Drosophila melanogaster: one gene and its partners. The protein of the gene in region 2 purifies or fractionates together with the protein of the main gene of each other region. This does not show direct contact. Each region holds a gene or a part of one and is shown on either strand. Other genes may lie near its edges. The genes, in order: arm, Klp64D, Kap3 and Axn.

Evidence for each region.
Region 1: the proteins of Klp64D (region 2) and arm purify together in Drosophila melanogaster (affinity purification with western blotting; one study listed by BioGRID). This does not show direct contact.
Region 3: the proteins of Klp64D (region 2) and Kap3 purify together in Drosophila melanogaster (affinity purification with western blotting; 5 studies listed by BioGRID, with this or other methods). This does not show direct contact.
Region 4: the proteins of Klp64D (region 2) and Axn purify together in Drosophila melanogaster (affinity purification with western blotting, with the first as the bait; one study listed by BioGRID). This does not show direct contact.

What each region holds. Positions count from the first base shown.
Region 1 is NC_004354.4:1,895,226-1,902,541, reverse strand, and holds the start of arm (armadillo), read left to right. Parts: upstream 1-1,895; 5' UTR 1,896-2,032; intron 2,033-2,368; exon of another isoform or gene 2,369-2,498; intron 2,499-2,931; exon of another isoform or gene 2,932-3,238; intron 3,239-3,502; 5' UTR 3,503-3,531; coding exon 3,532-3,562; intron 3,563-5,788; coding exon 5,789-7,316. Other genes in the region: CG32801 (uncharacterized protein), read left to right, coding at 80-390; Ldaf1 (lipid droplet assembly factor 1), read left to right, coding at 740-829, 928-1,105, 1,265-1,477, 1,529-1,776. UniProt on the Drosophila melanogaster protein: Isoform neural may associate with CadN and participate in the transmission of developmental information. Can associate with alpha-catenin.
Region 2 is NT_037436.4:5,355,349-5,362,573, reverse strand, and holds Klp64D (Kinesin-like protein at 64D), read left to right. Parts: upstream 1-3,181; 5' UTR 3,182-3,319; coding exon 3,320-5,353; 3' UTR 5,354-5,710; downstream 5,711-7,225. Other genes in the region: Cyt-c1 (cytochrome c1), read right to left, coding at 244-471, 586-879, 949-1,081, 1,549-1,697, 1,835-1,882, 2,163-2,234.
Region 3 is NC_004354.4:11,332,627-11,342,476, forward strand, and holds Kap3 (kinesin associated protein 3), read right to left. Parts: upstream 6,963-9,850; 5' UTR 6,902-6,962; coding exon 6,588-6,901; intron 6,199-6,587; coding exon of another isoform or gene 6,164-6,198; coding exon 6,046-6,163; intron 5,237-6,045; coding exon 5,071-5,236; intron 5,018-5,070; coding exon 4,703-5,017; intron 4,638-4,702; coding exon 4,501-4,637; intron 4,438-4,500; coding exon 4,249-4,437; intron 4,184-4,248; coding exon 2,708-4,183; intron 2,627-2,707; coding exon 2,370-2,626; intron 2,308-2,369; coding exon 2,163-2,307; 3' UTR 1,561-2,162; downstream 1-1,560. Other genes in the region: Gapvd1 (GTPase activating protein and VPS9 domains 1), read left to right, coding at 1-520, 596-692, 762-902; CG34348 (uncharacterized protein), read left to right, coding at 7,826-7,871, 7,981-8,119.
Region 4 is NT_033777.3:30,019,519-30,026,915, forward strand, and holds the start of Axn (axin), read left to right. Parts: upstream 1-3,323; 5' UTR 3,324-4,322; intron 4,323-4,908; 5' UTR 4,909-5,104; intron 5,105-5,947; 5' UTR 5,948-6,021; intron 6,022-6,699; exon of another isoform or gene 6,700-7,354; intron 7,355-7,397. Other genes in the region: Mgat2 (mannosyl (alpha-1,6-)-glycoprotein beta-1,2-N-acetylglucosaminyltransferase), read right to left, coding at 77-92; RpS28a (ribosomal protein S28a), read right to left, coding at 2,886-3,080.

The DNA of each region.
Region 1 (7,316 bases), on a different chromosome or scaffold from region 2:
AAACTTTAATCATTGAAAGTTTTACAATAGTTTACAAAATTGTTCACTACTGCTAATAATATCTTCTCCTGCCTTCCAGTTCATCCGCTAACACGGAAGTTCTACGCCCAGTATGAGCAACGCCAGCCGACGGATACCTTGAGGTACCTACGGCACACTTGGCCTGAGAAGCATGTGGAGCGTCAGAGGCAGCTCGGAAAAGCTGTTCCGCTCCTGGAGTCGCAGGTGTACGGCTGGTTGCCGCTCAAAAGTGGAGAGCGAGCCGCCGATCTGAACTTTCTGCATGCCAAGAAGGTGCGCTGCGGCATGACTGTTCACGGGGAGCGCTTGGTGGCGGAGAGGATTACGGCGCGTCCTCCGTTTAACGGACTCAGATTCCTGCTTCACTAATCCTACGGCGAAGAAATGTCGCACGCTGACCGCCATTATAAATTTATAATTTTTTTTTTAACATAGTGTTAATTTTTTTTTTGTAAACAAATTAATTATGATTAAAAAGCAAAACTAAGCCACGCTAGATCATTATTAAGAAACGCATCTTGTCTAATTCAAATTTAGTAAAAAAAAAGGTGGCAGCTCTCCCTCGATGATTTAGTTTCAGGGCTACGACGTCGATTATTTTTTGTTTATTTATATTGTTTTCATTTACTGTTGCTTCAAGCAGGCGAATGAACCTGGAACAGACTCCTCCTGTAATGCGCACAGCAACCGCCTGAGATTCTCGCAGTAGCCACGCAACATGGTGGGTACGGGTGTGAGTGAAGTGGGTGTTCCGGCATCTTCGGAAGAATCCGTAGATTTCGGCTGGAATCGGCATCGCAAGTCAAAGGTCGCGTTTCACGGACTCAGTGGCAGCCGGCATCTAATCACTTGGGTTCTTTGACTCACATAATATTCATAACTGATTTGATTTGATCGACTCTGCAGGCTCACTCGAACAAGGCTCGCAAAGCAGCCAAAGAGGCAAACGCCAAGAAGTCTGCGGGATCGGGAACAGAGAGCAAACCGGAGCACGTAAAGATACATGGCCCAGGCGATCGTAGTGCAGGAGTTCTGACTGGCGACCAGTTCCTGGAGAGCTTGCTCCAGACTCTCTACAGGTCATGTATGTCCACTAGTTGAAGTACTATCTGTAAAAGCGCTTAATTGCTTACTGCCACAATTAGTTACTTATATATGTACTACTCTGTACGGTTGTTAACCTGTTTTATGCATCACACCGCGTAACAAAAGTTGCCTTTGTTATAACGTTGCCATATTGCAGGGCTTCAAATCTGCCGCCTGGCAGATTTTGTGATGTCCGAGCTAGGTGGAAATGATTTCCTGGAGGCCACCGCGGCCTGGTGCACCCGGAATCCGCACGTTGCTATCTGCCTGCTAGCTGGTGGTCTTGTATTCATGCTGCCCTTCCTTATAATATTTGGGTTTGGAATAGCCACCATGGTTATGACCTTTACAGGTTTGCTGGTGCTAGAAGGTGCGTTCCGTAGTGTTTACCAGAGATCACGTTCTTATCGACTCGTTTTAGGCACACTCCTGACCATTGTGTCCATGGTGTTCTTCGCCTGCCTGGGAGGACTAGTCATAATGGTACCTCTCTTCGGTGTCGCCGCTGTTGCTGCCTATTTCGGATTTGCCCAGGTGTATGGCCTATGTGATGGAATAGAGATCCATAAGAGCGCGTGGGTCATGTTCTTTAGGGATCAACGGAAGGCCGGCGATCCGCCGCCAGCTGCTGTGACCATAACCGATGAACCCACTTCTACGACTGCATAAACCAATATTGCTTGCCCAACTTAAATATGTATTAAGAAATTAAAGACCAGTGTTTGAATACTTTTGGAAATTTAAAAAGTGCGCTTTCTATTTTGAAGCAAGTTGGCAGCCACCTGCGATAGAGGAGTTATCGGTTATCTGTTCTGCGCTCATATACACAGTTTTCATAGTCGGGGATTTTTGTCGAATTTAAATATCTAAGTGCGTCAAAAGTGCGTTAACCTGCCTTTGAGCAGATAAATTTACTTTCGAAGCGGTAAGTAATAGTAAAGTCATAGATATTTCTTTAATTCGTCGCCCAAAAACAATAGTTTTTGGTCGTACCTGTGTTGTCATACACCCTCATGTACACTCAGGTGCTTGTGTTGGTAAATGTTTATACAAGATAAACGGTGAGTTCGAGATAACATGATAACATGAACTAGAAATAAATTCGCCTTAGCTAAATTATAAATATTGTGAATTGAGTTTCTTAAGGATGAAATGCTATACAAATTTCGTGAGATTTTTGTGTTCTCAGAACAAAAAAAATTTGAAAAATTCCTTTGGCCTATCGCACAGGGCCCATCGAGTTATCGGGACAGCAGCAGGCCATCGCTAGTTGGGTTTCGTCGCCATATACACAGTTTTTCTCGAGCAGACAATTCGCTGTTATTTTGTTTCTTATAGCGTTTTAAATAAATAAATCCTGCTCTAAAGCAGACTTAAATTCCTTGGACGCGGTGAGTACTGTTAGTCGGTAGTGAATCCGTTTGGAAAGCCAAAGTTTCTGTGTGCCATGAAAGTTGGAAAGCCATGGCAAACAAGTCGGCGCGGGGGTGGGCAGGGGTTCGCTGGATGTGCGCCTGTGTATGTGTGTGTGTATGATCTGGATACACACAAACGGCATTTTTATGTATTCCTCCCCCGTAAATCGGGCGCTTGTTTTGTTGCTCGCTGGAATGTAAACAATGCCACAGACAGGAAATCGTTTTCTTCGAATCTAGAGGCAGGCTTATCGTTAGGTGTTTTATCTAATCGACAACTGAAATGGAGTTGGGATTCTTTCTGAGCTGCCTACGCGAGTATGTGTGTGTAGGCACAATCGTTTGGATGTGTGGCAACTCTGCGCAGCACTGCATTTGTATGCTGCACTGCCGCGGCCCTTTACTTTCTCTCCCAGTCTCTTTCCCTGTCCCTTTCCCGCACTCCGCACGCGCGGTGTTGCAAGTGCCTTGCTTTGCTTGCGCTCTCCGCATCTGGATTCTGTTCCGTTTAAACGAGCGTGCTGGTCGGTCGCATTTTCCGCTGCGCCTTTTTCGAGAGAAGTGAAAAATCCATTTTGTTTTTTGTTGGAGTGCATGAGATTTGAAAGAGTGCTAAACAAAGTAATTAAATAACTCAAGGTTCGTGGCCAAAGTCTTCGGCAGGTAGACACACACATACCCACAAATACCCGTTCTACCTGCGTAAGAATGTATTAGTGCGTTTGTTTGTATACGCAGCATATTTCATATTATGCTTCGGCATCTCAAAGCGGAAATGAGTTAAAAAAAAAGACCAACGACTAGAATAAGTGACTAACGGACGATATCTGCGTCTGTTGGCAGTCTGCAAACACAACAAGCCCTTCTTTCCGGGGCCCCCATTTAGTGGAGTTCCGTGGTCTCCATCCGAAGCACACACGAACTCCATGTTATTGACTGTCCAGCACATTACTCATATACTCTCCGTCTCTTTCTTGCAGGTGTGGTGTAAAGCGCCTCAATCACCAAGATGAGTTACATGCCAGCCCAGAATCGAACCAGTAAGTATTTCCAGCAGCGGTACTCTTCCCTTTCCCATCTTCCAGGGAGTATGCAAAGAGCATCAAAGTTAACTGTGTATCAGAGTGTTCCACTTTGGGCTTTTGTATACCCAGTCCAAATGCAGTTGTATACAGGATCCGATTTCATCAAATTAGAGATGATATTGCGTTTCAATGGACGCAATTAAGTCATGGTAGCTCTAGAGTTTAGAACATTTAGGATAAATAGTCAGAATACATGGCCCTATGAAGGGGATGCAACAGCGCATTGTATCTGTGAAACAATTATCCCCGTATCGCAATACAATAACAACCCCTCTCCAACGTTAAATGAGGGAGCGATGCTTGTTTTTGACAAATTTGGCAAATTTGACATAAAGTATTTGCTTTTGTCATTTGTTTCTGATATTCCCTTTGTGGGTTGTCTGCAGAATACAGGGTAACAACTATATCCATCCACCCCAGACAAATAATTTGTGTACATCTACATACTTGTAATGCTTGATGATCTTTTTTTTGTTGGGCCATCAACCACCAGCGGCCTGTGCTTATATCCGATTCATCAAAAAAAAAAGCGCTCCCTTCTACTTCGGAGTTTGAAATTTACACTTTTCCGCTGACGCAGTAAACGGAGTAGGAAAGAAGATTTCTTTTTGACACTTGATTTGCAGAGCGCGTTGGTGAGGCTCTCAGAGGCGCAGGAGAGGACTTCACCAAAGGGGAGGAGCTCGTTAATGCATGTTGGCTTCATTGAACTCCCATCACTTTTGCCACAGAAAGTCGAGGAATGTCAATATCTAGGACGACAGTAGTGAACAGTTCATAGCCATTTAGGAAGTGGCCTTTTAATTCGACCACTATTAAGTATTTAGTTTAGTTTTCAACTAATTGCTGTACAACCCCGAAACCCCCTTGAGTAGGCCGCTGCTCACTATCCTTTGAAACTCCATTCCCTCCCCATGCTATCCACTTACGCACACACACATTCAAGGACTCGTGTACTTGCACGTGGCACTCCAACCCACGCCACCCTTTTGCCATCGCTCCTTGGTCTTCTCCGGGGACCTTGTTCTCGTACCCCGTCTCCCGAACTCGCAGTCGAGTTGGCTGCACATTTTTCTTGGCTTCTGCCTTTGCTTTTTTCTGGCGCTGCTGCTGTGCAGAATTTAATTAGTAAGCGGCAACATGCAATTAAAGGCTCCGCCCGCGCCCTCCATCCCAACACAGTACTCCATTCAAGTGCGTGGCCCACTCGACGGATATGGCGAAGAAAAAACGCTTAATCGATTTGGGAAATGAAACGAAAAGCGATTACAGTATTACAGTCGCATGTGCTTATAGCGAACAAAATTCATCAGCTGTGGGCTAAACCATTTTGTTGAACTCAGAGACCACATTTGGAGACCTGGTCCATAGGTTACCAGCATGTTTCAATGCTGCTTTTTATGGAGTCATTTATATTCAGCACCGTGTTCGATCTATTGAGATTTGACTGTAGTATTGCAGAGTGGATGGCGAAGAGCAGTGAAGTTTGTAATTACGAATGCATACAGAAGGGGCGTGGCCGTGCTGTGTCCGCGCATAAGTAAAACAACAAAGGCAAAAAGCTGGGCCTGGAACGGCATAATTAAGACTGAAGTGGCAAACAAAACGCCCACAAATCCTTTTGCCAGTACCCTCTCATGTGTGAGCATCTGACCCCCTGCACCAAACCCATTCCGCCCAGCGCCCTGAACTTTCTGGGAATATCCTGCAGCGTTCAATTTGTCACGCTTCAAAGTTTTCCTTTTGCATTTTTTGCGCCGGCTGTTGGGATGCTGCTCACTTTGCTGTCAGTCGCTGTCGTTTCCCATTTGGCCATCTTTTAACGAAAGCGCATGCAAATGGGTTGCAGAGGGTTAAAGCGTGTGCATCCCCGCACCCGAATTCGTTGCATTATATGTAGATGGTGGGCTGCACTCAGTATTCCGTTCTACTCTGTCGTTTTTCCACTTCAAAAGGTTTTAAAAAAGAAAAGTTACCATGAATGTGTAGACAGATGTTAACAAGTTAAAGAAGAGCATACAAAAATTATTCTTACACTTCATTTCTGCTTCTTTGGGGTCTTATAACACGATTAAGTTGCAATGGAAATGATCGAAACACATCGGTGATTCGAGTTAGAAAAGTTGGAGTGTATATTTTTGTCAATTCACTCTAAAACGTTTTGCAATCAATCTTTTGCAGTGTCGCATAATAATCAATACAATCCACCTGATCTGCCGCCGATGGTATCCGCCAAGGAGCAGACCCTCATGTGGCAGCAGAATTCGTACTTGGGCGACTCCGGCATCCACTCGGGTGCCGTGACCCAGGTTCCATCGCTGTCTGGCAAGGAGGACGAGGAGATGGAGGGAGATCCACTTATGTTCGACCTGGACACCGGTTTCCCGCAGAATTTCACACAAGACCAAGTGGACGATATGAACCAGCAACTGAGCCAGACACGCTCCCAACGTGTACGTGCTGCCATGTTTCCGGAAACCCTGGAGGAGGGCATTGAGATTCCCTCCACCCAGTTTGATCCCCAACAGCCGACGGCAGTGCAACGTCTTTCGGAACCGTCACAAATGCTAAAGCACGCGGTGGTCAATCTGATCAACTACCAGGACGACGCTGAGCTGGCAACCAGGGCCATACCCGAGTTGATCAAGCTGCTGAACGATGAGGATCAGGTGGTAGTTTCCCAGGCCGCCATGATGGTCCACCAGCTGTCTAAGAAGGAGGCCTCGCGACATGCCATTATGAACAGCCCTCAGATGGTAGCCGCTTTGGTGCGTGCCATCTCTAACAGCAACGATCTGGAGAGCACCAAGGCAGCGGTAGGAACACTGCACAACTTATCACACCATCGCCAGGGTCTGCTGGCCATCTTCAAGAGTGGCGGCATCCCGGCACTCGTCAAGTTGCTCTCCTCGCCAGTGGAGAGTGTGCTGTTCTATGCAATTACCACTCTGCACAATTTGCTGCTCCACCAGGATGGCTCTAAGATGGCTGTGCGCCTGGCCGGCGGGCTTCAGAAGATGGTTACTCTGCTGCAACGAAACAACGTTAAGTTTCTGGCTATCGTCACAGATTGCTTGCAAATTCTGGCCTATGGTAACCAGGAGAGCAAGTTAATAATTCTTGCCTCCGGAGGGCCCAACGAACTCGTGCGCATTATGCGCTCCTACGACTACGAGAAGCTTCTGTGGACCACTTCGCGGGTACTGAAAGTGCTCTCCGTTTGCTCCAGCAACAAGCCGGCCATCGTGGATGCCGGTGGAATGCAGGCGCTGGCTATGCACTTGGGTAACATGTCACCGCGCCTTGTGCAAAACTGTTTGTGGACGCTCCGCAATCTTTCGGATGCAGCCACTAAGGTGGAGGGCCTTGAAGCTTTGCTCCAATCTCTCGTCCAGGTTCTGGGCTCGACCGATGTCAACGTGGTCACCTGTGCCGCCGGTATCCTTTCAAATCTGACGTGCAACAATCAGCGCAACAAGGCCACCGTTTGTCAGGTGGGCGGTGTGGACGCCCTCGTCCGTACTATTATCAATGCTGGAGATCGCGAAGAGATTACCGAGCCGGCTGTATGTGCCCTGCGTCACTTGACCTCGCGTCATGTGGACTCTGAGTTGGCCCAGAATGCCGTACGCTTAAACTACGGACTATCGGTGATTGTAAAGCTATTGCATCCACCATCACGCTGGCCCTTGATCAAGGCCGTCATTGG
Region 2 (7,225 bases):
GATGTTTTAGATTTAGCTATTTAGTTTTATTTTGAATCGTTTGGTTGGCTGGCTCTCGCATATTGGGATAGTATTTGTGTTTATATTTTTCAGCGGAGAGAACATTGACTTGGTGGTTGCGGATGTTGCTTGTTCACTTGTGTGTGGTTTTGGTTTTTGCTTAAAATTGATTTATCTTTATTAGTCGGTAAAGCCGCGATAACACTGCATTTCTTCACACCATCAAAATCAAATTCAAACATTCTACTTCTCCTTGGGCACGAACACAATCTTCCGCGACTTGAGCGACGACCACTTGTGCCGCTTAATGTAATACGAGATGACGGTCAGGAAGCCAAGGATGCCAATCACCTTGATCAGCAGCTGCTTGCGATCGTCGTGCTCCGGCTCGGAAGTCCACTTCAGGAAAGTGGCCACGTCCTTGGCCAGCTGGCTCTGCGTCGGCGGTGTGCCGTCCTCGTACTCGATGACCTGGAAAGGGGATAATCATTAAAGATTGCAATCGTGTTCTCTTATATCGTTTTCAAATCATTAGTTTCTTTCTGAGAAGGAAAATATAGAACTAGTATTTGATCAGCCACCCACCTCGTTGTACAAAACCTGCGCCATGGAAATGGCACCGCCCGGGAAGTACGGGTTGAAGTACTGACCCTCGCGCAGCACCACTCCGGCAGGAGCATCATGGTAGCCCGTGAGCAGCGAGAAGATGTAATCCTCTCCGCCCTTGCGGGCCGACACGATGTAGCTCAGATCCGGAGGATAAGCACCGTTGTTGGCAGCACGGGCCGCCTCCTCGTTGGGATACGGCGATGGGAAGTAGTCCGACAGCTTGCCAGGACGAGTGTAGTAGTTGCCGGTATCATCGGGACCGTCCTTGACCTGTAACGGGGACATTCAAATCAATTAGGAAACATTTAGATCTAGAAATCTAAAAATTCGAATACCCACCGTGATCTGCTCGGCTTCAGCCTTAGCCTCGGCTTCGGTGTGGGTGACACCAACCAGATTGCGGTAGGCAATGTATTGCATCGAGTGGCAGGCGGAGCACACCTGCTTGTACACCTCGTAGCCGCGACGAACGCTGAAAGTAGGAATTGAGATGATGTTACTAACTGGATAGCAGGGTCAGTGGGCAAATGCCATCTTATATGCAGATACTACAAAACATTCTTTAATATCTTTAATTTTAACTAAAATCCCCATTTAACAATCCATTAATCTTCTATGTTCTGCTAGTTGCTGTTCTGATTAGCTTTTATGAGCAAAGTATTGTTGTTAATCTATAGTTGTTATCAGTTTTTAAAGATTACAGAAGATTTGCCGGGAAAATTGGCTACGTTTTCTAAATTGAATATGATATTTGTATTGGCGAGTTTGAGATAAAATAAAATACTTCAAACAAAATCTCTCTAATCATTAAAGAACTCTTTTTGAAATTTGACAGCAATCTAAACCAATTCACTAGAAATGCACTTAGTTAGCTCCACCACAGATGGAAATGCCCAGTTCCCGACCACTGATCAGTTTAACCGCCGTTTTTTGGATTACCTCTGGTGGTCCAAAGCGTCGAAGAGGCCCTTGTGGTTCCAGAGTTGCGCGGGGGAGTGCACCTCGCCGCCAGATGCCTGCACGGACTGCTCCAGGGCGTAGATAAGGGCGCCCACTCCGCCGGTGATTGCTCCCAAGGCGCCGATCAGCTGTTCGTGATGCACACACACGCACATACAGCCGCACACAGTCACCGAGAAGCAAACGCGTTTTGAGGTTAGGTCCGATCGGGTATTATGAAATGCGAAGTGGGGGAATATGTGAGATTCCTGACTAGCTGACTTACCTTCTTGTTGCCACTGGCCCAGCTGCCGGCGGAGGAGAGGTTCTTCGCCTGCAAAAAGAACGGATGTCATTTAGTTTGGATGTTCGGCCAAGGAGAGTAAGAATTTTTGCACGGAGTTACATAATTGGATTGTTCGGTTCGTATCCGAGTTCATTTAATCCCATTGGAATTGCGGATACCACTCACTGTGCCACCTAGAGTGCACCATTGGTCCTTGTATTTTATGTTTTACGGTATTATTTCATGTTTTTCTCCATCGGACACACGACTCCTTCAAGGTGCTGCGGTGGCTGTTGAAAAACTTGCATCCGCCGTTCACGATCTTTACCTGCTGCAGGCTGAGTGCTGGCGCGGATTTCAGCAATCTCAAGCCATGGAATCTTCGCAATGTCGCTGCCATGGTGGCCGGAGTTTTAATTTCTGCGTCGTCTGGTCGTTTAAGGAAACTCTGCGGGCAGCCAATCGCCAATCGAATCAATCTTTCAGTACCACTGCCACAACGTCTTCCTCTTCTTCGCTGCTCTCTCGCGGAGGTGGTGGTGGGCAACTCGCTCGTTTGCCAGCGAATCGGAATCGGCGGGGGCGATATTTTGGTATTTTTAAACAGATATTTTAATTTTATTTTATTATTATTTTTTTATTTACTGTATGATATTTATTTATAATATGATATTAATGTATGTATAATTTAAATAATACATTTAAAATATCACTTTTTATTTTTTTCTTTTTTAATAAATATTTGTTACACAGTGTACCTTAATTGCTTTTAGTGTTTTTTTTTTCTTTCATGTTCTTTATTATATCTTCGAATTTACGGTTTTCCAACTTGTTGATTCAAAATACTTCATAATCTAATTGGAACTACTTGTTGACATTAAGTTGGATTTTTTGATTTTTTAGAAACCACTTGATGATTTCATAAGATAAGTTGACAGAACAGCTCTAAAAACAGCTGCCTTAGCCTTAGCCAAATTTTTGGTTGCTGTTATGTAATTTTTCATGTTTCACTGCGCTGTTATCACAAAAAAAGATTTTAATTTTTATTATTGAATTCTTTTCGAAATATCTATAAAATTCTTAAAAGCCTTGAAAAAGGATTTTCAAAAAGTAAAAATAAGTACAATTATCGCAGTTCACAAAATAACCTTCGATTGCTTATATCACAGGTCAATATTATAATTTTATTTTTATTTTTGCTAATTGTTTTTATATATATATTATTTAAAAAAAAATATATAAAATTATTTTGTCTCACTGATGAATAGATTTTTCCGCTGGTCTGGCATCCTTCTCGCCCGTTTTTCGCACACTTATCGATAACAGCTGACCACCCGTTAATGATTCGCCAACAAAAAAAACCTAGCAACGCATAAACAAATGCGAGAAAAAACCCCCTTTATTGATTTCCACTAAGTGCGGTCAGCGCAAATAGTGGTTAATAGCTTTCACTAGACGAGGAATAAAGCCAGGACGTAGATCGCCATGCCGCAGGAGGAGGCAAATGCGGGAACAACGGCCCAACTCGATGACGAAATCGAGAATGTGCGTGTGGTGGTGCGAACGCGACCCATGGACAAAAATGAGTTGTCCGCGGGAGCGCTAAGTGCGATTTCGGTGGATAAGATCAACCGGGCCATTACGGTGATGAAACCGAATGCCACCGCCAATGAACCGCCGAAAACGTACTACTTCGACAATGTATTCGATGGTGGCTCCAATCAAATGGATCTCTATGTGGACACCGCTCGTCCGATTGTGGACAAGGTGCTGGAGGGCTATAATGGCACCATCTTGGCCTACGGACAAACGGGCACCGGCAAGACGTATACCATGTCGGGGAATCCGGATTCGCCGCAAACAAAGGGCATCATTCCGAATGCATTTGCGCACATCTTTGGTCACATTGCTAAGGCCAAGGAGAATCAGAAGTTCCTGGTGCGCGTCAGCTACATGGAGATCTATAACGAAGAGGTGCGGGATCTACTGGGCAAGGATGTGGGCAAGAGCCTGGAGGTCAAGGAGCGACCGGACATCGGTGTCTTTGTTAAGGATCTCAGTGGCTATGTGGTGCACAACGCCGATGATCTGGAGAACATCATGCGTTTGGGTAACAAAAATCGTGCCGTGGGAGCCACCAAAATGAACCAGGAGAGCTCCCGCTCCCATGCCATTTTCTCCATTACTGTGGAGAGAAGTGAGCTGGGCGAAGGTGATGTCCAGCACGTAAGGATGGGTAAACTACAGCTGGTGGATCTCGCCGGCTCCGAAAGGCAGTCGAAGACCCAGGCCAGTGGACAGAGACTTAAAGAGGCCACCAAGATTAATCTTTCGCTATCGGTGCTGGGAAATGTGATCAGTGCTTTGGTGGATGGAAAAAGCACCCACATACCGTATCGGAACTCCAAGTTAACTCGACTTCTGCAGGACTCCCTCGGTGGTAACTCCAAGACCGTCATGTGTGCCACCATTAGTCCAGCGGATAGCAATTATATGGAAACTATATCCACACTTCGCTATGCTAGTCGTGCTAAGAATATCCAAAATCGCATGCACATCAATGAGGAACCCAAGGATGCTTTGCTTCGTCACTTTCAGGAGGAGATTGCCCGACTTCGCAAGCAATTGGAGGAGGGCGACAGCTTGGAGGAGGAGCCACCGAGCTCCGAAGAGGAGGAGGATACAGCAGATGACGAACTGGAGGCACCACTGGAGATCGAATTGGAATCATCAACGATCCAGGCTGTGGAGAAAAAACCCAAGAAGAAGCGCGAGAAAACCGATGCCGAAAAGGAGGAACTGGCCAAGCGCAAAAACGAGCATCAGAAGGAAATCGAGCATGCTAAGACGGAGCAGGAAACACTTCGCAATAAACTAGTCTCATTGGAAGGTAAAATTCTCGTTGGCGGCGAGAATCTGCTGGAGAAAGCCCAGACGCAAGAGCTGCTGCTAGAGCAATCCATTGCGGAGCTGGAACAACATGAAAAGTCCGAGGAGGCGCTGAAGCAAACTCTACAGCAAAAGGCCACCGAAAGGATTGACATTGAGGAGCGTTACTCCACGCTTCAAGATGCCAGCACTGGCATTACCAAGAAGATACACCGGGTGATGCAGATGCTGATGGGCGTGAAATCGGAGCTGGCGGATCAGCAGCAGGAGCACCAGCGCGAAAAGGAGGGCATATACGAGAATATCAGGAGCCTATCCAGGGAATTGGCCTTATGTGAGCTGGTATTAAATTCCTATGTGCCCAAGGAGTACCAATCGATGATTAATCAGTATACGCACTGGAACGAGGACATCGGCGAGTGGCAGCTGAAGTGTGTGGCCTACACGGGTAACAATATGAGGAAACACATCTCGGCGCACAAGACGAGTGGCAAGGAGCCAGATTTCCTCGATCTCTCACATGTCTATCTCAGCTACAACACCGATGGCGTGTCCAATCCAATGCGCTCCAAATCCGCCAGGCCGCGAACCTCGGGTGTGCCCAGACCGACGACTGCCAGGCGATATTGAAGCTAGTGTTGGAAGGACAATCGACTGCTAGTCCAGCTGCATGTCCTCGGCGGTCTGCGCGTCCAATTTTGGTTTCTGCTCCTGCTAATCTTGATTTTCTACAGCCTCAGATTCATTTGCTCAGCGAATTTCCTTTTTGTTAGACCTTAGTTTTTGTTGATTTATTGCTTAGGACATACTTTTTAGGTTGAACAACGGTGCAATATATTTACTACTGTGTTTGTAATTTTACTTTCTAACTTATATTTATTTTATAATACTTACAACTAAGTAGTAACAAGATTTTACCCGATTAGGCACAAATATATAACTATTGTGTGCTCTTGGCTTTTAAATAAAAATATGATACTCACACGTAATTATTTTATATTCTTACTTCAAGGAATTATGCGTAATTTCTTTTTATTTTTTAGCAGCTTGAAAGCATGCTTTAAATTTTCCGGGCTTGCTGAAGAAAACTGAAATTTGGCCGACCTACTCATAACAGGTTCCATAGTGTAGCGGTTATCACGTCTGCTTTACACGCAGAAGGTCTCCGGTTCGATCCCGGATGGAACCACGTTGACAAAAGTATATATTTTTTTAAATTCATTATATGTTTATTAATTTTTATTACGACAGAAAACATAAATTCAAGTTTTTTATTCCCACAAAATACTAAATAATACTTAAGTAAAAACAACTGATTTTTGTGTATACTATGAACACGAAAGAATTATATATAACATATTATATACTTTTGTTTGCTAAAACTCCACTTAGTAAGCGTTTAAAAAAATAAAAATAAAAAAAAGTTACTTCCTCCTGGTTCCATCCGGGATCGAACCGGAGACCTTCTGCGTGTAAAGCAGACGTGATAACCGCTACACTATGGAACCAGATGCCAATCGCTTGACACAACGCAAACAAAGCACAGCGCCAAAAAAGGTTCTAAGGCAAAATGAAAAAAGTCAATCGTAAGGAATTTAAAAATCTGGGTTGCTGATAATTTAAAATTAAAATAAACCCAAGAATGTGAAAGCTTTAAGTCGAACGATAAATAAGAATGTCATAATTTAATAGTCCTTTCTTCTTTTTTTGATGTTCGTTTCGCTTAAATGCCGTCCGTTCAGGTGTTATTTCGATACCGGATTACTCATCCCACCTGCAGGGGATGCGATTGTTTGGGCAGGTAAGCCTGCGATAAGGAAAGCAAACTGTACTTTTATCCATTATTTATTTACCTTTGTGCGAATTTCTACGCCTGTCGCAGCTTAGATTTTAGGCTACCCAAATGAATCTGGCTGAAAGCATTTCCGCTTTATCAGTTTGCTCTTATCGCCGCACGTTTTGTTTGCCCATTTAGCTGCAGCTAGTTGCGAATTGGGGGGCGGAGCTCCACTCAGCGGACAGCGGTATCGCAGTAAGACGTCACGAATAACTGTTCAATTTACATATATTCACATTAAACCAATCTGCCAAGTGAAAAAGAGAATTGCGTTGCCAGGTGAAAGAAAAAGATCGGAGTGAAAAATCACCGAGAGCAAGGTAAAGTTACTCACTCCACTGGCAGCCAATTGAGTGGAAACAAATAACCGAAACACCAAGCTACAAGGAAATAGTAATCATGATCAATCATGAAGCTATCGGTTTTATTAGGACTTTTTTAGAAACTTGAATATCAGATAGCAGGTTCATTTTAATTTAGTATATATTTCTGTATAAAATAAACAAGATTCACATAGCATTTCATATAGACTATATATTAAATTCAACACCATATTCAAAATAAATGACTGTTTTGTTGTCGAGTGTAGTTGAGTGGTTGCTCTCGCACTTTCGGCGGACAGACCGAACCGAGCGATCGTAAAACTCTTCGGCCCCAGGCCCACA
Region 3 (9,850 bases), on a different chromosome or scaffold from region 2:
TGCGATCGGAGCAATTGGAGCAGCTGGAGGCGCGATTGCGTGGCGAGGCGCGCAGCAGCCAGAGATGTCTGCTGCAAGCACTGGTCCGGATGTATCTGGCTTGGTCCCGTCAGCAGGAGAAGCTGGAGCAGTTTCAAGCGGAGTTCGCCCAGCTGCGGGCCAGCGACGAACGCGTCGAGCTCACCGAGGAATTTGTGGAGTCCCTGCTGCAGGAGCTGCGCTCCAGTGCCGATCTACAGGACGAGTGGCAGGTGGATGCTGCACGCGTGGCCATCGAGCGAATGCTGCTGGAGCAGATGTACGAGCAGGTGATGTTCCCCAACGAGGATGCCGATGTGTCGCGGGACGAGGTGCTCTCGGCGCATATTGGTAAACTGCAGCGCTTTGTACATCCCGCCCACCCGGCGCTGTGCATCGCCCAGGAGTATTTGGGCGAGGCTCCGTGGACGTTTGCCCAGCAACAGCTGTGCCACATGGCCGCCTACAAGACGCCACGCGAGAAGCTGCAGTGCATCATCAAGTGAGTCATGTGTGAAGTTTCCCTTTGGTATATCATTGCCTAACATACAAACTATCGTATCGCACAAAACTTTAGCTGCATCTCGAGCATCATGAGCCTGCTGCGCATGTCCAGTGGTCGGGTGCCCGCAGCCGATGATCTGCTGCCCGTGCTCATATACGTAGTGATAATGGTGAGTCATTAATGGTGAACCATTCGGCGGTTGCTAGTAATTAACTAATCATTTTCGACGTATGCGCAGGCCAATCCCCCGTATCTGCTATCCACCGTGGAGTATATCAGCTGCTTTCTGGGCAAAAAGCTGGAGGGCGAGGACGAGTTCTATTGGACGCTCTTCGGATCCGTGGTCAAGTTCATCAAGACCATGGACTATCTAGACTAGCGATATTTGTTAAGGGCTTAGGCGGATGTATCTGTAGATTTCTTTATCGCTTTGTTGTAGGCATTACACCAATCTCCCATCCCACTCTCTCCTCCAGTCGATATTTTCCATATTTATATATGTATATGTATGTCTGTGTCTGATATTTGTGTAAAAATTTGTTAAAACCATAGTCTAAGTGCAAAAACTGCGGCAGATGTGCGAAGCGATCCAAGTCAAATCGAAGTGGAAACGGAACACCAATCAGTGGGAGATGCCGATGCTGAAGCTGAAGTGGAGATATCTAGGTTAAGCTTAACATTGAACGCTAGAAGGCCTCGCCTTACGGATATCCACGATATATATATATATATATATATATATATATAAAGTGAACTAGAGAGCATATTCTTCTATTTATATATACACGTACCATACATACATACCTAGATATATGCATGTTTATCGGATCGGTCTAGCCACTGTCATAAGTATGTTTCGGAAACGAACTGCAACTTAATATTCCTTATTGTGTAACACAAAATTAAAAGCCAATATTATTTCAAATTGTTGCATTTTAATGGCGAGACAAACAGCTCTGCGGAATGGGAAAAGTACTCACCCCTTTTTTTTTTTTTTTTTTGAACAGCCAACAAAACCAAAGAAAACAATACGAACTAGGTGAACATTTACATTAGCTTTGTTTATATTCTTCGGCGTTTCATTATGTCGGCGTTTCATTTGTCGCCCACTGTTTAATATTACAATTTGACTTTTGTTCGTAAGATATTCGAGAAAACGAAAAGTTTAGGTTCGGTAAACTAAAACAAGTACAACTAAAAACGTTCGACGTAATACTTTAAGTGAGAGATTATTGCACAGTAATTGCGTTGCGAACAACCAAAGTGGAAGCTAAGCCATACATCGCACTTAAACAAGACCTCAATAAATTAAATATTAATAAATAACAAACAAAAAAATACCATACCAATAAGTAAGTAACCAAACTTAAACTAACCAGTGTCTGTGCGCCGTTGCTCATTTTGAATGTCTTGAGTACAAAGTTGCCGCGTCGCTAAAATCATTTAACGTCTTTGACTAACAAGCGTGAAAGGTGTCGTATATATGTATACATATATATATATATATAAATATCCAATAAATCCAAGCAGAAGGTCGTTAATAGGCAGAGTGACTAAACATGTACACGGGAGGGCGGGCAATCGGCAGAAGCATCTTAATTCAAATTCAATCGATTCGGGTTAGGACCTTTCTCCTCATTTAAGCCATCAGCAGCTCCTCGTGCAGACCATCGGCATCCAGGGATTTGTTCGACTTGAATATGTAGTTGTTGTCGCTGGAGCCCTGCGACTTGGAACTGGAGGTCATGTTGTACAAATCATCGAGATCCTGGCTGCGGCGATAGCTGTACCATGTGATTTATCACTTAATTACTCGAATCGAAGTGGAAACTTGGTCAAAACTCACGTGCTCAGTGGCCTGCTGTAGGTGGACATGGCCGGGCTGGCCGGATTGTTGTTGCTATGGTTGCTGTTGCTATTGCTGTCATTGTCGGCATTGTCGTTGTAGAGATCGCAATTGTCCAAGTACTCGGAGCGCAGATACGTGTCCAGATCATTGTCGCACTCGTCCTCCTGATCGGCGTAGTCCTGCTCATTGTCCTGGTCCTGCTGCGACTCCACCATGCACAGCCACTGCGAATTGTGGTTGCGGAACTTCTCCAGCTGCCATGTAACAACGAGAACAAGAAAACACAAACAAGTTTGTACTAAGATATGCCATATTTGGACTGGCAAGCAACTCACCTTGATGCGCTTGGCCCACTCGCTGTCGCTTATGGCAATAATGTCCAAGCAATAGTCGCACACCTTGCGGATCTCCTCGTTCTTGTCGTGCATCAGATCGATGAGATAGGCCGCCGATTCCGTCTCTTTGATCATGTACTCCCTGGTGCTTTCGTGTCGCAGGATTTGCTGAAACACAAAGATGATCTGCAGCACAATCTCGTCATCCTCCTGCTTCGCTTTAAGCAACTCGATCAGGGATATAACCACTTTGGCGCGGCAGAAGAGCAGGGCACACAACTCGTCGCAGGCACAGGTGCCCAAGTAAACAATGGTGTCCAGCACAAGGTCGTCCATTCTGGCGCACGGCAGCAGTATCTGTCTAATCCATGGAATCAGTTGGAAGTTCTGCAAGATCTGCGAGTAATCCAAATCGGTGAGGGCCAGGTTACCCAAAATGCCGAGGCACTCGACTATGAAGGCCTCGTCATCGCAGATGGTCAAAATGCGCGCCAGATCTCCCACATAGTCGATGAACTGCAGCTGCAGGGACTCGTGCTGCGACAAGTTGCGCAGCAGCTTCATCAGCAAGGCATCCTGGTACTTGAAGGCCCGATCCATTAGGCTATGCAATCTTTGGCCCTCCACCATAATCTGGGCATTACGGCGATTTAGCGAGAGATTAATGCACAAGGCAATGAGATCCAAATCGACTTTAACATTGAGGTTTAGGATTATGGCATCCGTGGCCATTTGCACGCACTCCGTTTGCGTGAACATGCCCTTCACTTTGTCATCCAAGCTCATGTGGTACAGTATTTTCACAGCAATGCCGTGATGCTTCTCATCGTTGATGAACATCACCAGCATGGGCAGATAGCCGGCGGCGATCATCTTGCGACGCAGTCCGCCGTCGAAGGAGAGATTGAAGACCAGCTTCAAGGTGACCTGCACCAGATCCGTGTGCGTGCTCTGGAACAATCGTGGCAACTTGGCCACAATGTTCAAAGCGCCCATCTCGTCCTTGTTGTCGCCCACAATCGATAGCTTCTTGAGGAACGTGCTGACGAGCATGAGTAGATCGATATTCTGCCTATCCAGCGCCTTGACCAACATCTTAACGATATGCTTGCGGCGCATCTTCTCCTCCAGCTTAACATTCTCGGCCATGTTCAGCAGCAGGTAGAAGGCCACGCGCAACAGTTGCTCCTGCTTTTTGGCAAAGATCTTAAGCTGCTTGTTCAGCCGATCGATCTCCTCCTTCTTCACTTTGGGATCATTCCTGTCCAGCGACTCGTTGCTTTGGGCCTTCTGTTCAGCGGGCACAGCCGGAGTATCGCCGCCAGGTGAACCGCCGGCGCAAAGGGACTCGTGATAGCTGCTATTCAGGATCTGACTCTTGATCAGCGACGATGACATGGAGCCGTGAAAGCTGCTCCAATTGCCCGACTTGGGACGCTGTTTTAGCTCCGGAATGCGACGACGCGGCGGCTCCATCTGAAAGTGAATTTGTTGAGTATTCGATAGATATGTTTTTCAAGAACTTATAGAAATAAAATTACCTCCTTGGGCTTCTCCTCGTTCATGATGTCCAGGAAATCGTCGGTGCTGCGGTTCAGCTTCTCCTTGCTGGCCTTTGCCGAATGTGGAGTGGATGATCCATTGGGCTGTTTGCGCACGTCCAGCTCATTTCTCATTGTCTCGTAGCGACGCAGCTCATAGTCAATCACATCCATGCACAGCGATCCAATCTGAAATAGATTAACAACGATTAAATGAGTGCTTAGAACTTAATTAAGAAACTCTATTCCCACCTTATATTGCACAATGAGCGGATGAAACTTGGTGTATGTGGAAAAGCAGAAGAATATGTAGATTATGTTGGTGGAGAGATCCAGGGATTTGCGCCAGTCCTCGCGCAGAACACGTGACAAGGCGCTGAGGCAGGCTTCTAAAATGATGAAATAGTACATTGGGTTTGGGTTCAAAACTACAGAACTGCAAACTTATCCTTACCATTCTTTTCCAGCTCTTCAAGATTATCGGGATTTCGCGCCATCTGTAGGATCATGGCCGAGCCTCGAATGCGTTCGCCCAGCTCCTCGTACAGCAGCTCCACATACTCATCGATATTGTTTATGGACACATCCGCCGTGGGCGTGGCGGCACTCAGGGCATTCGAGACACCATTGCTAGCTCCAGTGGATCCTCCGCCGCTGCCGGTGCTGCTGGTCATGGCCGCCACACTGCTGTGCGATCGAGCAGAGGAGCGGGTGTGCGAAGTGTGCAGCGCCGCCGATCGCCGGCTGTGAGTGTTGTTATCCGGTATATCTAATGGGTACTGAGTGTTAGTATGGATTTCTGCTAACAATCTAACTGCTTACCATTGCTTGCATTATCCTTGCGATTCTTCAGATAAAAGATTATCTGCTCGACGTCATTAAGCTGGGACTTGTGGATGAGATCGCACTTCTCCACCACTTCTCGTGCCAAGGCAGCCGGATCCGTTTTGGCGTTCAGCGAACGGAGTCGTATGATTTTTTGACAGTGCTGGGCGATTAAATACAATACATGCATTAGTTAACGACTGAAATAATGTACTATTAGGCTAATTGTTTTTGCTGTTATTTTGCTATTTATAAACATAGAGTAATTATTAGGATTGAGGAACTAGTTTAGGACCACTTCAGGGCAATTAACCACTTCGCATCTAAGCTGAAAACTTTTTTGGTCGCCAATATTTATGGCCAAGAGCAAAACATAAGAGACTTACTTATGTAGTACATATTTATGGTCGTGAACAATCGGCGAAAAATAAGCTTGTCGCTCGGCCAAAAAACGTGAATTGAGGTTAAAGACCCGGCCAACCAACCGCTTTTGGGTATCTTTTTTTTTTTGTTGCTGTGGTTTTACATTTTTCACTCACTACTTGGAGCGCAGGCCGTCATCGACCCCGTTGTTGTTGCGCTATCGATTGGGCCGCTCAATGTCAGCTTCTGCCCCCCGCCCCTTAACCCTTTTCGGGGCACACCGGAAGAAACAGAAGTAGCTTTTTTAAGTACTCATTCGGATGTTTTTGTAGAACAATGACTGCTAGTATTTAAACTAATAAGCAATATATGTATGTGTACACATCTAGATCAATTTTTCAACCTATTCGATTAAGGATCAACTTTGTTTCCTTTTTTTTTATGAACCTAACATAGTTAAGAACTAAGTTACAGATGTTCGCATATTGTTGTTATTATATTCTTTCCCTATCAACATCTTTGATACCAATAATGCTGGTCCTATTTTAATTTTCTAATATCTACTAGCATTTTCTCCCAGTGCAGCGATGTGTAACCGTGCGTTCTTACCTTCTTTTCCTCGATCATCGGATTGTTGGGCTCCCCGAAGACGGTGGCCTCCAGTTGGTAGTTGACAATCAGCGCCTTATCCGTGGGATGCGGTTCAATGGATCCGCCTTTCCACCTCCTTCGTTGTTTGTTTGTTTGTTGTTGTCGTTGCATTTGTTTTGGATTGAGAGCGAGACAAATTGTTGGATCAATCATAAATTATGCGGTTCAATGCGTAATGAGGTAATAGATTTTTCAATCCAATTCTTTTTTTGAGCCTGGCTTAACTTGTGCTTTTGTTTTAATAAAACGAACAAAAAAGTTAAGAACCCAACGAATAACGAATAACGATTAACGGTTGCAAATAACAAAAAACAAAAGGAGGAAGCGTGAACGCAAAGTGGAAAATCAATAGAGAGCGCCAGGTGATTGTGGCTCTCTTTCTGACGCATGACGAGTGCTTTAGCTATTTCTTTTGTTCTTCGGCCACTTGTACACCCACACATGAAAACAAACAAACACACACACGCACGCACGCACGATCTAATCCCATACATACGCACTTTTTTATAAACTTGGCGTCATCGTTTGTTTGCATTGCAGTTGTTGTTGCTGCTGCTGTCGGAGAGCGACTAGAATTTGTCAAATTGTTTATGGAAAGCACAGGCTCCTCTTCGGTGGGTGGCGGATGCGGGGGGTGGCGGTTTTGGTGGCGCGGAGTGGGGCTCCTTTGCAGCTGCTGCTCTCTTTGCGCTCTCTTCTGCTCGCACAGATCGCCGGCAATCGCATTTATTATGTAATAGACGTAGTGAATCACAATTGGCAGCAGCACCAGGCCCGAGATTATTTGGAAAATTAATAACAAAACAAATTGCATGCGATTGCAATGCGACTTCCGATTTAATGTCGATAAGTGCTAGTGCTGGCACAACTGTCTGCTCACTGGCGGTACTATCGATGGTGCCACGGCACCCGGCAATTACCGATAGCACTCAATCGATACAAACCAATAAGCGAATGTTCAAATTCAAGTTGGCGGTTGTATTCTAATTGGGAACTTGCCATTCATAATATGCAGTATACTAACAACTTTGTTTTTCCTCGAACTTCCTTGACCGGCTAGAAACAGGTGTGATTAGCCAAGAGAGCATCACTGTTCTGTTCTGGGTGCCAAGAACCAAAGTCTGGCAACGACTGCAGCCAGAACAGCTGGGCCGGCGTTGCCAGGTGCAAAGAACGTAGATGAGCAACAGAAAAGCAAACGAAATGGAATGAAGGAACAACAATAAAAGAATCGCTACTTTGTAGTATTATTAACCAAAAAAAAGCGCGGCGCGATCACAATGTTTCTGACTGCGAACGGTGTCGGTTGTCTCTACTGCGTGTGAGCCGAGTGGAGCGCAGCGCCGCGAATTGTTTACATTGTGCTAGGAAAATCACAACAAACAAACCAGCAAACAGTCTCGACTGACAATAACAATAACAATAGCAAATAACATGCAAATAAAATGCATTTCAAGCCGCGCAAATACTAAATACTGATTCAAATGAAACGCACTATACGATGACCATTTAAAAGAATCGCCAAGCAGGAGGAAGCGAAAAGAATTCGAAAAGCGCAAAGCGAGCCGAAGAAAGTGTACAAAATCAGGCCAAACCGATTTGTTTTTTTTTTTTTTTTTTTTGTTCTGTCGTATTTTCCCTTCTTTTTTCTACCGTTTTTTTTTGTGTTTTTGTTGTGGTGGGCGGTCGCTTCTCTTTTCGCGCAAGAACAACAAATGAGGTGGAGCAGCGCCTGACAATGGAATTTCTGGAGAACCTGTACAAAACGCTGCACTCCCTGTTGTGTGAGTAATATCGAATATTTGGCGCCCGATAAGGCGCACCGCTGACCTATGTACATACATACATACATAACAAATGCCCCTCCACCAACTGCATACCTTGTGATTCTAGCCTCCTACATCGATCTGGACTATTCGCTATGGCTATATCGCTTCCTCACCCCCCTGATTGTCACCTTTCTGCTGCCGCTGGTCTTCGTGGCCCTCATCTACATTTCGTTCCTGGTGCTATTCATCTACAAGCTGCACAGGTAAGCGAAATGGAAATGTTGGAAAGCTGCGTATAAGTTGGGTGGGAAATTGGAATTACAACAATTACAGTGTGCTTCGCGGGCTCAATTGCAACTGTTAATGAACTCTCTCATGCTGATCGCGCACTTTTGGAGCCAAGTTTCCCCCACTCACCCTTACCACGCACCCCTTCCCCCTTTGGCCGGCGTCTTCCGTCCCGCTCTGCACCTGTAATTAAAAGGGAACATAAAAAGAGATGGCGTTGTAAGGAAGGGGCGTAGAGTGGGAGAGAGTTGGGCAGCCAGTGTTGCCAACAAAAAAAGCTAGATAAAACAAAGCACGGGAATACAGTGGACACTCTATAAGGCAAACAGAAAACGTAATATAGTCCAATAAACTTAGTTTTCACTGTTTTTAAGGGAACTTATGATGCAGCTGTTTCCCAAAACGCTGAAATTAACATTTTGACAAACCGTGAATATGTGTTGAATCATCGAAATTATGGGCATTAAAAAAAGTGCTCAGCAATAATTGATCGTTTTCTGCAAATTAAGTAAATTAATACGATAAGCATAATCTACATGTGTTTCTAGCTCGAAAAAGTTTTTGAAACTAAAGCAATTACTTGAGTTCTTAGATTTCAGTTGTAAAAACTGCTGTTATCGATCTAAAAAAAAGGATTGATATGTGTACCAGATAGTAATATATTTGAATTATATTCATCTAGATAGTATATATAGTTGGAATATAGCCAAGTTGGGCTGCACTGACTACACTGACCCCTGAAGAACATTACACCCTCGACCATTGCACCGATACTGAAAATGAAAAGCCAAGTCGAACGGCAGGTGATCGACTCGGCCAACTTTTACTCGGCTTATAAATATACATATATGTATGTATATATACTCAAATATATACTTGAACTGGCCTGTGTTGGCGTGCTTCTATTTATTCTACATTTCCAACTCTCTAATGCCCAACCGGTTGGCCATGCTAATTAGCCGCGAAGCCCTAATGGCTAGAACTAAATTGGCCAGCGAATTCTGCAGCTCACGGGCTGGCTGCACACGGAGAAAAGTCGTTGCATTAGCTCGATTTCGATATCAGTTCCAAGTTCAAGAGGGCTAATAAATACATATGTACATATATTCGACTTCTGTTTGGTTAGGAATTTAGTACATGATTTCACGACGCTAATTCGTTGCTCAAACAAGATTATATTTTATGACGAACTTGGGCTTAAAAAATGCATTACAATCATATAATATATGTATATACACATTTCTATATGTTCTCAATGGATACATTTTATAAGAGAAATATTTTTATGATAATTTGCTTATTTAAAACATTCGTGCATGAAAAAGAAGTATAATATATATTATTATTATTATTTTAAGCTAAACTAGTGCAAAGATACAATTTGTAGTGCCCAATTTTACTATACTAGCTATGTTATACGCAGTGAAAAATGCCCTTCTTTTTGTGAGTACGATTCGATTAGAAACCAAAACACGCCAGGCATTGTATTGTTGAACCGACAGGCTTTACTGTACCGGTGGCTATCAGTGGACCACCCCCTCCCCTCTGCCGCTCTTTCCTCATGGGGATATGGGGCGTAATCACGGGAATTATGGAGCCACATTGAATCGAATGCAATTAGCTGTTGGAGCTCTTTTTGCCGCTGGTTCAATCGCTCCACTTGGACAAGTTCTGAGATAAAAACTTGACGATGCATAAACGATGTT
Region 4 (7,397 bases), on a different chromosome or scaffold from region 2:
TATTCAATGGCAAACATTTAATGGATTTAGCAAGGCTGGCTTTTCTAAGCCGGAAACTCGATTCAATTACAATTACCCCTCATTTTCGACATCTCGTCGCTCCTCGCTTCCTCGGATTCGAGTAACTGCTGGCTCTTCACTGGGTGAGCGCCTTCATCTCGTCATCTGGAATTAGTTGAGCTATTGATAGTACGTACATTCCTACGATTCGAATGCTTTCATAGATGATAACCTTCTATACAGAAGCATACTACCACAATAAAACTTTCGCTTTGTTTGTGAAGGAATCCAACATAATTTAGAAGTAAGTTTAAGATGGAATATCTTTTATATAGGCTGGCTGTTGGGCTGTTGGGCCCTGTCTCCGATGAGATCAGTTTCTCCAGAGCGGACAATGGAGCTCGGCATGGGAATGCTAATCAGAAGGGTAACGAGTGGGATCCGTGCTTGGGCACTGGGCACTTGGAACTGGGCACTTGAGTTTAATTAGCGTCGGAGGCTCACAGCTCGCCAGATGAATGGCGATGTGTGGACATGGCGGGTCGGAGTGGAGGAGCACATGGACGTCGCGTGGAGGCGAGAGAGCCTGCCGAGTGGGCGGAACGCGTCTGAAATCTCAATTCTGAAATCACAAATCCGCGGCCTCGCGTCAATTGGCGTAAAAATAGATTCGTCGGCGGGCGGCTCAGCGAAATTTCACAAGTGGAACGCCTTTGCCTCGAGGAAGCGCAATTGTGTGGCAGAATCGGGAAAGAACTAGATAATACCCACTATAGCAACTAGCCACTAGTCACTAGAATCATGCAACATCACAGCAAGTTTGCTGTGATGTTTTTGGGGGCGTTTTTGGATGCAATCGCAGTGACCCATTTGGAGCTGTGCTGTAATCATCTTATAGAGTTAAGAGATGATTCCACCAACCATGAGTAACGTGCGAGACTTCTATACAACATAAACGTGCCTGTGTATGTACTTTTTCATATTTACACATATGAAGCGCACTTTATTCTGAGGAGAATAATGAAATTAGCTCATATCAGCGATGTTGTTCAAGGTCGAAACTAAGTAATAAGCTACATACAAGTATGTATCTGTATAAACATTAAAAATTCCCCCGAGCCTTAACTACTCACATGAGGAACCAAAAACGATATTTGAAAATGAGGCACTGCAAATAATATGTATGTAGTTTTTACAGCTTTTCCGCGAAACCTAACTAGTTTGCTTTGGAGTCACGTTGCCGCCAGTTGAAAGCAGTTTCGATTCACAAGTGGACATTCCAGAACCAAGTCACATGCGAAGTTCCCTGGAATGTGCTATTACGAATGAGATGTGATACTATACTGACTGCGAATCCAAGCCAGTGGAAGAGTGGAGTTCCCGATCTCAGGACTCTCACTCCGGCGGAATAGCTAATCACGCCCCTTTGTGCCAGGGGCCACTAATTACCATGTTTCCTGGTAACGTCAATCTGACGCACTTAAGTGCGGAAAATCAATGAACATTAATGACCCGGTCCCTTTATTAATAAATTGTAAGTGGGCCAATTGACTGACGACTGAACGCGACTTTGAAATTCAGGCAATGAAAGGTCTAGGAATAGCAGTACACTGTGCGGAGTTTCGAATACCACTTAGAAAGTGATTTTGAAGTTGGAAAACCGAATGAAATATTCACCATTTAAGCTAGTTTCTATGAATAAATGAGCGCTTGCAGCAACAGATAAAAGTTCATTGACTTTGATTTATTTATGAATGAAATATTCATAATGCATAGGCTTTTTAATTAGAATAATAACATTAAATCGCAGGCAGTAATTTCTTCCGGTGTAGGAACCACCTCTATTCGCAAATGCAAGCACTTTTTTTTTGGGTGTGTCGGGGGGCGGTGGGAGGTGGGCGGTGGCAGGGGGCGTGGAACGAACAGGTATTTTCGGTTTAGTTGTTACGAAATAAGTGGCGAAAATTGACGTGCCGAAAGCGAAGGCAAAAAACCAAAACAAACAAACACGAAAACTCAGGCAAATGCGCCGTACGCTTTGCATTGTTTTTTCGCCCACTTTTTATGGATCGAATTTAACGACAATCTTTGGCCTTTTGTTGCTTTAATTGCCCTAGCTGTCCGCACTCACCTTTGCTGGACTTTTCGCGCAGTGCAGCTGCCTCGAAGGAGCCCAATGCCTGCATTATTTCGCGGTCGCCACTTTCCTTGCGGTCAATCGATTTTTCAGAGCGCCCCGAAAAGTCCAAGTGCAGCAGTGTAACGAATTCGCAGCTTTCGTTCGCTTTTCCGTGCATTTCGGAATTTGCACTAATTGGTAGGATTCCCCGGGGAATCGAATCCGTCACTTTTAATCCTGTTTGCTGTTCTTTTCGCACTCGCTTTTGTTTTTGCAATGCAGGCTCCTGCACTTGCGGTACACACACATACCAGCAGCTGCTACGGCCGCCGCTGCACACACACACACGCACAGCGGGCAAACGGGCATCTCTCTAGCTCTACCCGTCTCGCTTCAACCCACTGCCGCGCGCATTTTCACATTTCCCGCATTTGTTGCTACTTCGCTTGATTTATTCGGCGTTCATCTGGGCGTTCCGTTTTCACTTTCGCCTGGCTGGGGCAACAACAAGCTCGCGATCGAGTATCTCAGCTCGGCCGTCCGCTGCGAACGAGTATCTGAGTAGCTGAGTAACTGAGTATCTGAGCGTGAGTATCTGTATCCGAGTGTCTCGCGGAATCGGAATCAACACAAACAGCTGTTAGGGCTGCGATGGCAAGAATCGATAGCTTAGCGATAGGAAATCGATAGTTTGGGATTTAAAAATTGAACAAACAAAATCGTTTATTAACTTGATTTGGGAAATCAAACAGGTGTAATTCATACATCAGCGCAGTCTCCTGGCCTCGCGTTCAGTTTCCAGCAGCGACAGGATGTCGCCCACGCGAACAGGTCCTTTGACATTCCGAATAATCTGGCGGCTTTGGTCGCCGAGGAACTCCACCCGCACCTGGGTGCACTGCCCTTGGGATCCAGTGCGTCCAAGGATCTCGACCACGCGAGCGTACTGAGGCTTGTCCATGCTGAATACGAAATTCGAGAATTGTTCGACAATAAAAGATTTGAATTTGAAGCTGTGAGTGCTGCTGCCTTTCCAGTCGATGAAAATAGAAAACCTATCTACCCTTCTATCATCCCTGGCGCCACCTGTAGGCCTTGTAGCGCAACATAAGTGCGGACGCGAACCACAAGGTGACCCCAAGTCGAGCTGCCACCTTTCGCAGTGTTGGCAATCCAGTTGGCATCCCCGAGGCGAGCTATCGAACCAGTTCGATTTCGAACCACGCAACTCTAGCATGTAATCGTTCGTCTCGCCGTCTAACATTTGTGTCGAACTACATTTTGTTTTGCCATTCAATAAATCTATTATTTACCACTGAATAAGCGGCGCCACGGAGCCCTAAAAGAGTGTGCGCGTTCCGGAGACTCGGCGCACAGCGGCCCGCAGCGATACGTCCATGAAAATCGAACGGCAACAGCAGCAGCACCCACAACCAGCGGAGGCAACAGCAACAAAATACACAAAATAAAGAAGCAGCAGACGGAAAAGTGCACAAATGGTGCAGAACTGAGTGGAAAGGCCACCGAGCACAGATTTCTCACAGTGCAGGAGCCCGGAGACGCCGAAATGCTCTAGAGGGCGGCGCTTCAGCACGATTTTCTCCCCGCGGAGAGCCCAAAGTTGCCAGCGGACGAGGATGACTGCTCCTGGCGAAGCATTAAGTTAAGAGACATACAGCCATTGTTTACAGCAGGCAGCTCAGACACCGGGATAGGATAGGATAGGATATGCCCTCGGGCCAGCCCACTTGAGTTGAGGAGAGCAGAGGAGAGGATCGGGATCCGTGCGCGAGGAGAGGATCTGCAGCCTTGTTTAGCATTTAGTCCGGTCATCGTGCCAGCGCCTTGTTAACCACACTCTCTTGTTTACGTTTGCTTGTTTGTTGAACTCCACAAATCGTCCTTCCATTAATTGTTAGTCACGCGTCCCTCTCGTTGAGCACACTAATCAAAATGAAAGCATCCTCGTCGATATCGAAATTGAAGTTGAAATTGAAATCGAAATTGAAAGCTAAGTTGCAATTGAAATCGAAGCGTCCAGCCGTTAAAGCTACAATCAAATTACACCCGTCCAAACCCACCTCGTCATCGCCATTGCCATCGTCACCGCCATCGAAGATTGGAGCCAGGGCCGTCAGGACTGCGCCAGGATCAGTCGTCTGCCATCCCAATTGAGTGAAGCCGAGGATACACGAATCTAAGGGTGAGTACTGCTCTTGGAATTCCCATGCACAATCCATAACTAATGCTATTACTTTCTTACGCAGTTTGTGGATTATTGGATTTGCACAACTTACTTAAGGACTAATATTAATACTTTAAGAAAGGCACAACATAAGTCTGATTAATGATCTAGTTGTATCAAGGGAAATGATTGGAATTAGACAATTTATTCACGTCTAACTAATATCTCAAATATTAATAGTAATTTGAATGATCCTTTGTAAGAAATGTGAGCATATATTTTGCAATAATAGTAACTTTATGAAATGTATATTTCATTAAATCGAAGGATGATACCTGATCATTGAAAAAGTCATTTAGAACGCCATGCAAATTCTAATCATCCAACTAAAATATTGCTCAATTAATTAGTTTGCAGCACATTTAATTTATTTCTGAGGTGTATGTGCCAATGGGATCCCATAGAAACTGTATATATCTTTTAACTTCATTAACAAATCAATTAATTAACAAAACAGTAAAACATAATTATATTATCATCCTGCATTCATATCCATAATATACAATGTTACCTATTTAACAATTTACACATCCTCTTCTTTCAGGTACTGAATGTACTGCATCAACTGTAATATAAGCTACGTAAATAGGAATTTATGCGAATAAGAGTAATTAAGTGAAGCGTGTAGTTAAACATTTCTACAAACCGGACATAAAAAGATTCAACCATCTTAAAGGACTTGCAGCGCTATGGATTGATATGTTCTCAAGCGTTGGCCATTTCTCACTTGAGTTTAATCGGTTAGTGTTCTATCACCCTTTATATTCAAAGCATTCTTTAGATTTATTTAGGCGTTTATTGGATGCACCCGTGCGCGAAATATTTTCTCCCCCACAAATCCAATATGTATGGCTTATTGAAAAAAAGGAGGCACTTGGGTGGTTGCTACTGATTGATTTAAAGTTCGCTGTGTTGAAAACTAATTCGATTTGGGCTCTGAAATGTAAATTTATTTAAGCTGAGCCAAAAATAATATTTATACAATTTTATCTCTATTAAAATACCTTCCAATTTTATCTTTGATGCAATATTTATGACTGGCATATAAAAAAGTTTTTTTGTTTAATTTATTTATGGTATTTGTATTATGTTTTGGTTTGAATGATTATTTATGAGATGCACGAGACTAAAGATTTTTCTTAAAATTATTTTCATTGTTTTGGACTTACTTTCTTGGCGAACAAAAATATACCCAATGGCCAAATCTCTTTTCTCCCAATTGATAATTGATAATATCCTTATGTATAAAGCTTGCCTATTATATATACATATTTTATATACATTTATTTATATATATGTATATTTAAAACAGAGTAAAAGTGTTCATAATTTTTTTAACTATCCCATAATGCTTGGTAAGGCTAGAAACATTAGTCTTCAGATAAAACTTTAACTTTAACATATAACATAAATTTATACCAAATGGATAACAATGGCTCTAATCTTTTTTTTTTCCAAACTCTTAACTATATGTTTACAACCTTAGTCTTTCGAACAAATATTTTAGTATTATATATTGTCTTAGCTTATTTCAAAATGATTTCAATTGATCTAATCTTTTCTTCATTTCACTATTCTTTCAGGAACAACTGGAACCATTCGGAATACCAATATCTTCCCCTGATTTCATGTTGAATTTTTTATGCAAATTACATATGTGAGTATACAACTTATTTTTACTTTGTCAATGGTTTTGAAGTTTAAGACAACTACGATTGCATGCGAGAATCTCAGAAATATAAACTAGTATGAAAAACTGATTTACATTGATATACTTAGGTCCTTTTCCATTTCTCGAAACCTAATAATCATGACATCCTGAAGGGTTTTAATAAATCCTTTTTAATTGGTTATTATTCGGAAACTACCTTTTCACTCAATTGAAAAATCCTCTTAGTGCAATAAGGATACCATGATTTCACTATTGTTTATTGGGCTGCAGCACTCTGATTAAGGAATTGAATAAGTTTCCGTTGTCTCGGAGAGGAGCAACAGTTGACCGCGCCCAAGTGCATCCTTCGGGTCCTTCGGTGTCCTTGTAATGGGCGTTGCACCTGAAAAGTAGGCGCTTCCGCGCTGAACTTTTCCGCCTGTGCTGGCAACTTTTGCCGCGCACAAAGTGCCACTATTGACCTTCGGCAATACTCGCAGCCGCAGTGAGTAGTGCCCGTGTTTCCCCCAGTTTGCCGGGCCAGACCATGCCGGCGTGGAGTCTAGACCGCCATCAGACGCCGTTCATCGGGCGGTTGGTTGAGCAATGGCGGTCTTAACCTCATTAGAAACAAACGAGGCTGCCGCCGGTCGCTCCTCCCTTCGTATTGTTTTCAAACTTATTCGAAAATAATTTCCACATTTGTGTTTAGGGGAGGAATCGGACTCCGGAGGTGGGTCTTCCATCTCAACCCTTGCCCCACCCCTCGGCTTTCAGGAAGGACTACAATGCGAACCCAACTCCGCTGCTCTGTTTATGTACAATAAGAACGGGCGGGCGTCTGGTCCTTCCTTTGCCTTGCCACTCTGGCAGTGGGCCAGGATTTGGTCTGGGCTTGGGCAGCAGGGCATAGAATGGGGGGACCAGGGTCTGGGGACTCAATCTGGACCTGCGCATATTGGTTGCACACAATGACTCCTATTCGCCTGCTGCCGTCTCGCTTGCTCCGCCGCAACCACGGACACTCTGAAAAGAACATCCTTTGTGTGCTGTTGTACAATGTACATGGAGCATCATCATGTTGGAGGTCGTCCCAGCACCGCCACTCGCACTCCTGCTCCTCCGCAGGGCAGTCCATCAACAGCTGGTCGGGATATTCAAGGGGCAGTAGTCCTCCACTAAGAAAAAATCCTCGAAATGGTTGTATTCGTTCTTAAAACACAAACATGTATAGTGAGTTTCAGAATCAAAGTGCAGTCCAGTACAGAAAGCTTAAGTTTGTTTGAGGGTCTCAGATTGTTCAATTGCTCGTAAATAAACTATTTTTAAGTGATAAAGCAACTTTTAAGCTGTATACATTCGTAACTAGCTTACCAAAAAGT